2 linked regions of the Saccharomyces cerevisiae S288C genome follow. The gene in region 2 interacts genetically with the main gene of each other region. Each region holds a gene or a part of one and is shown on either strand. Other genes may lie near its edges.

Evidence for each region. A genetic interaction does not mean that the proteins touch.
Region 1: mutations in MSN1 (region 2) and YGR121W-A together harm fitness more than expected from each alone (negative genetic interaction), as found in Saccharomyces cerevisiae (one large-scale study listed by BioGRID).

What each region holds. Positions count from the first base shown.
Region 1 is NC_001139.9:731,789-734,295, reverse strand, and holds YGR121W-A (uncharacterized protein), read right to left. Parts: upstream 885-2,507; coding exon 669-884; downstream 1-668. Other genes in the region: YGR122W (uncharacterized protein), read right to left, coding at 1-361; ammonium permease MEP1, read left to right, coding at 1,369-2,507.
Region 2 is NC_001147.6:97,809-101,576, reverse strand, and holds MSN1 (Msn1p), read right to left. Parts: upstream 1,769-3,768; coding exon 620-1,768; downstream 1-619. Other genes in the region: non-canonical poly(A) polymerase PAP2, read right to left, coding at 1-102; RRI2 (Rri2p), read right to left, coding at 2,089-3,768. UniProt on the Saccharomyces cerevisiae protein: May function as a transcriptional activator. Increased dosage of MSN1 restores invertase expression in yeast mutants defective in the SNF1 protein kinase, and msn1 disruption reduced derepression of invertase in the wild-type. May affect SUC2 expression.

The DNA.
Region 1 (2,507 bases), on a different chromosome or scaffold from region 2:
GATAGGTCCCGCTTGTTGTCCATAAGTTATTTGACGCTTGTGAAGATTCATAAGCTCTGTACAATGTTTCAATACCGATGTCTTGATAAAATACGGCAACATTGATTAACGCAATCGCTATCTCCTCTTCAATGAGAGCGGCGTCATTATTAGCTTCGTACCTGTGGGTTAACAAACCCTCTGTGTATTTTAGCCACGTATCTATACATGTAATGCTGTCAGCTTTGGACGAGGAACTGTTCAGTGAATTTATGCAATTATTTCGCAGTATGATTAAATCATTAGGTATGGAAGTTGTTATTTTGCTGCTGCCAGATAATTTATAGGGAAGTTTCTTTGTAGACATTGCATTCTCACGCATGATTTATTTTGTTAGAGCTACTTTTCACTTTAAAGTTCAACCTTTGAATAACCAGTTCTCGATTATACGTTTTTTCTTACAGCCGGTTTACGTCAGCGCAGGAAAATTGAAAACTATACTATTCAATACATAGAACGTAACACAATGGCGTCCCCTCAAAAGTGTACACTTCTTCAAGATGTTACTGCGGCTACATGCAACACCCCTAGAGCTATTTGTAAGGGAAGACAAGATCTCAAGTGTTACCACAGCCCGTAATTGAGTTCGGCACTATTCGAGCGCACAAAAAATCCCGTACTGTTTTTTTTCAGATAAGAAAGACTGAGCCTATATAAACACTACCTGAACCATTTTTAAGATAAAAGTTATATACGATAGAGTTATCCCCTCTTAATAATTGATCAAGAACCTCTGAAGCACAAAAGGGAGCATAAGAGCACTTAGGGACAAACGTATTTCTTTCCCCCACTCCCCTTTTTCCCTTTGCGATGCACATCCATAACTTGTACTTGTGTCTTGACATTCTTCAAAATCAACATGGCGATGCTCTTCTACGGTTGTCCTTTGCCACGAACTTTGTTTTGCGCCTCCCCTCCCTTTGTCAGGCTGAGTGCAAAAGAAAAGGCCCTGGTTGCTTATCTCTGCGGACACGCGCCCCTCTTATTGGATGAGACATCTCAGAGATTGCGATAACGATAAGATTCACAATTGCTACAGACACCCTTGTGTGACATCTTATGGCTATGTAAGCACAGAAGAGAAGAAGAAAGAAATGACAAAGTATTGATGGAAGATGTTTTTCCTGAAAAAAAAAAAAAAAAAAAATCGGAAAAGTGGTGTAGGCTTCTATAGCACCTTCTGCTTACCAGTCGATAATGCAGTTCCAGAATAAGATACTTAAAAGGTAGTTTATTTATATAGGCGCTCTTGTAACTTGTTTAGGCTTATGATCAGAGAATTATTTTAGTAAACATAACTGCAGTACGGATTCTTATACTGTAGAAACTATGGAGAGTCGAACTACAGGGCCTTTAACGACTGAAACCTACGATGGCCCCACTGTGGCCTTCATGATATTAGGTGCCGCCCTAGTATTTTTTATGGTGCCCGGATTGGGATTCTTGTACTCCGGATTGGCAAGAAGGAAGTCTGCACTAGCACTAATCTGGGTTGTATTAATGGCGACTTTGGTCGGTATACTGCAATGGTATTTCTGGGGTTACTCTCTAGCTTTTTCAAAGTCCGCTCCGAATAATAAATTCATTGGGAATCTAGATTCGTTTGGCTTTAGAAACGTGTACGGAAAAAAATTCGATGAAGATGCCTACCCTGAGCTCGCGTATGCAACCTTCCAAATGATGTTTTCGTGCGTCAACTTAAGTATTATCGCTGGCGCCACTGCCGAAAGAGGCAGGCTGCTACCGCACATGGTTTTTCTCTTTATTCTAGCTACCATTGGATATTGTCCAGTGACGTATTGGATTTGGTCACCAGGTGGTTGGGCATACCAATGGGGAGTCCTCGATTGGGCAGGCGGCGGCAACATTGAAATATTAAGCGCTGTTTCCGGGTTTGTTTACTCTTGGTTTTTGGGCAAAAGAAATGAAAAGTTACTGATAAATTTCAGGCCTCATAATGTTTCATTGGTCACTCTAGGCACATCCATACTGTGGTTTGGCTGGCTGCTATTTAATTCTGCATCCTCATTATCCCCAAATTTGAGGTCAGTTTATGCATTCATGAATACATGTCTCAGTGCCATTACTGGTGGGATGACGTGGTGTCTTCTGGATTACAGATCGGAGAAGAAATGGTCGACAGTTGGTCTGTGCTCCGGTATCATTTCTGGGCTGGTGGCTGCAACGCCAAGCTCAGGCTGTATAACCCTTTACGGTTCACTTATTCAAGGCATTGTGGCGGGGGTAGTGTGTAACTTTGCGACGAAGTTGAAATACTACGCTAAAGTAGATGATGCCATGGACATTCTAGCTGAGCACGGGGTTGCAGGCGTAATAGGACTAATTTTCAATGCCCTTTTTGGAGCAGACTGGGTCATTGGTATGGATGGCACTACAGAGCACGAGGGCGGCTGGGTAACTCACAATTACAAGCAAATGTATAAGCAGATCGCTTACATTGCCGCATC
Region 2 (3,768 bases):
TGGTTTCCGTACTTTCTTGATTTTCTTGCTCTTTTTCACTTTCCCATTATGCCGGTTTTTAATCTTCTTTGAAGAAGAGGCTGTTACACTCTTTGCCCCCATATTTCAAGTATAGTTCCCTTGCTTATTCACACTTTATGAAAGCGTAACGTTTTTGGTCGTATATTCAAATGGTTTTTTTTTAATGAAACTTAATAGTTATTCTATATTATTTTCCTCTTTTTTTTATTTTATTTTTTTTTTCACACATTATTTTAGAATCATATACAAGAAGCCGAGGATGAATACAGGTTTCTTCGACACTCAACGTGATAATCAAAAGGCAAGATAAGAAAACTGAGTAAACCTAAATATCTCACGCTTGGGATCCTTTACTTAAATTCAGTTAGGTGTTCAGCTATTCTAAATTCAAGAGCGTAAAGTACAAGGCATATTATATAGATATGTATACGTATACAATTGTTGTTGGCTGACTTCTGAGTTTTATAGGATATTATTAGAGATTATTGTTACAGATACAACCCACTTTAAAGGAAAGTCCAATTATTAATTTATTAAGAAAAGCATAAGTGTTACAAGGGCTAATTTGGGATAAAGGTGAATACACAAGAAGCAAATGTCACTTCAAAGTCTCTGGAATATGAGAACTGTGGCATAACCAACCAATAGGTTGTTTAACCTTCTGTTTATCATTAACATATCTTGAGTTTTCTAATATTTCAACAACATAGTTTAATGAATACCCACGATTAAGGCCAGTTTGAATGGCTTTCCAAAGAACCTTTCTTCTCGAATATCTTTTATTTACTGCTGGATCTCGCCTCCATGCCGTTTGATAAAGAGCTTCCATTTTCCTTATAGAAGGCTGCCCGTTAACACCTTCTGTATACTCCTTCCAAACCTCCATCACAGAGTGTGGTGACTTGATAAATTCGAAGGGTCTTGTGCAGACTATTCGTTTCCGTTTCAATCCTGTTTTAGTCTCATACTGTTCCTCCTCAAATGTCGGCACGCTCTCTTGTGCATTTGATTCAACCGCATTTTCATGGTTAGGAGAAACTTTCTGGAGATTAGGAGACTGCCGTGATTGAGAAGAGTTGCTGCTTATGTACAGTCCTTGACTTTGGCCACCATCATTGTTAGGTGGATTTGCTGAATACTCTTCCAAGGATGGGACTAAATTGGAATTATAATTTTGCGGCTTGTTGAACCGAGTGTCCACTGAAGGGTTGGTGCTATTATTTTCTTGGCTTATAGAATTTGAGCTGTTAGTTTGTTGTTGACTCTTATCATTTTCTTGTGAATTTCCATTCAAAATGTCCTCAAAAAGTGTTTCATTACTAACAGCTCCTTCATTTTGCGGATGAGCAGTTTGATCATTATTCATAGGCACTGAAGTATAATTCCTAGGAGCTCCTGGTGCCGTAGTTCCATCAGTGAAGCCTTGTGGGTCAAGAGTTTGGCTTAAGGATATTGACGTAGCTGACACCCCATGCAACGTTCCGCTTAATTTTTCACTGAGAATTTCAGCGTGGCGTTGTTGGTCATTCAGCAATGTTGATAAAAACGCGGTCAGTTCGTTGATTTGTTGCTGTTGGGAGTTTACCACTACATCATATTTTTTAAAGTGAAGATCGAGACGGTTACTTAACGCGTGAAATATACCCTCAAACATCGACATACGCCTTTCCAGCTCAGCAACGCGGTTGGTTAATATAGCCTCATTCTCATTTAGGTTTGAAGCTCCTATGTGCTGGTTACTTGCCATTTCGATGCCTACCTTGAAATAATCTCCTTTTCTGATTTGGTTTCTTTTCTTATAAGCAAGGGGCTTTGTATAATGAATCAGAACACTTTACCCTCAAGCAAATATTTCCTGTTTAACAAACTATGGTCGATAGTTTCCATACCATCAACGCTTTGTAGGTGTACATTTTCATTTCCTTCCACATATCCTTATTATCTTAAATCTCTCCAGAAAAAGCATCACTATAAACGAAATCTTCGAACGGCTTTTACAAAGAAGCTATCTTATGTAAGTGGAATTCCAAAATCGTAATGTTTACACGAACGTGCCTGATCGACATTCTATTCCAGATTGTTAGAGGCCAGTTTGCACAGCTCGAGGTACTTGTTGGAAAACTTCATATACGATGGTAGAAAAGTATCTTCATTCGACTGGTTGCTTACCCTCGGTAATTTTACAGTTTCCCTAGATTTTCTTAATGTATTGAAAAATTCTTTAGAGGATTTGGTTCTTATTCTTGTTGGGTTATTATAAATCGCGACATCGTTAACGTACTCAAAATCTATTAGCCTGGCCTTTTCAGTGGTTTCTTCATCCTTGGGAGAGATCATAAGACGAAATTCTTCTTTAGAACATCTCGGTAGCATGACTTTATTCTCGTCTCCGAAATAGACTAAATCACTTGTCAAATCTAACTTAAAATACACAACCGATCTATTTTTCATTATTGACCTCATTAAAATTGTTAGCAAATCATCTCTTGTCATTTCATTGTCATCACTTATTTGCAGCATACTTATAATGTCACTTATGGAGATACAGGAGTATAATCGTGCAATTTTTCTCCACAACTTTAATGTCTGCGCCAGATAGTAAATATCTTGAATAATTCCACTTAGTACTACGGACAATTCAGGAATAAGAGATATACTTGCATTCAGCTGTCTTAGTTCCAGTTGTGCGAAGCACCTGTAGACATCTTCTAATACGTTAACAATAGGGCTGCCTAGCGCAATCTTCACTTGTTCGAAACCAAAAGGATTAATCTTGTCTGTGCTAATTGCTTCTAGAATCATGCTCGTGAAAATGAAGCCGCTAAGAATGAACTTGTGAAACAAAGAGGTAATATCCCTCTCCCGAAGTTTTCCCATCTCTTCCAAGTGTTTCAAGATATAGAGGAACATATTTTTTAGCTCTTCTTTCCGATCATAATATCTCATCAGCGCAAAGGATAAATCATTCTCTGAATCAGAGTCTAAAATGAATACAATCTTAGAGGTATATAATATTACCATCAGTCCAGATTCTTGTGAGAAAGTAAGCGACTTAGATATCAACATTTCAAAAAAGTCAATGCACTTCTTAAACAACCTTCTATTGTTTATTCGTGCAGTGTTCATATACTCCAATATGTAATACTGCAGTAACATAGATACACTTTCCAAATCATTATTTTCCTCAAAAGAAGAGCATTCATTATCTTTCACAAGAATCTCTATTTGGGAAGAAATTTCCGGGGTGAATACATTCCCCATGGTTAACCTTTGATACCAAACAACGGCAATAAATATCTTTTTTCTAATTATACGCTGGAGATTTTGGAGTTTACAATCCTTGCCAGGCTTTCTTAAAATCCATTGAAACTGATCCATGAAGTTTTTTTGGAAATCAATTTTGCAGATCATATTTTCCCTATCAACTTTCTCGATGTCGAACAAGAATACTCTTTCCCACTTGGGTGCCAATACCTCAAAAGTATCAGAAAGTAATTCAAATATATTTCCATCAATTTGAAAGTCTATTCTTTGTAAAAAAACCGACATAGTTGCCGTGTCTTCTAAAATTTGTAGAACTAAATCCTGTGCACCGTTTTTCTGAAAATAGAGTTGTAGGGCTCTTAAACGTAATATCTCAATAAGTGATTTAAATTTCCATGTCATGAGCCTTTCTATACTTTCGTCAGATGAAAATTCTTCCTTGTAATATATCTTTAAAAATAAATCGCGAGCCTCTTTATATCG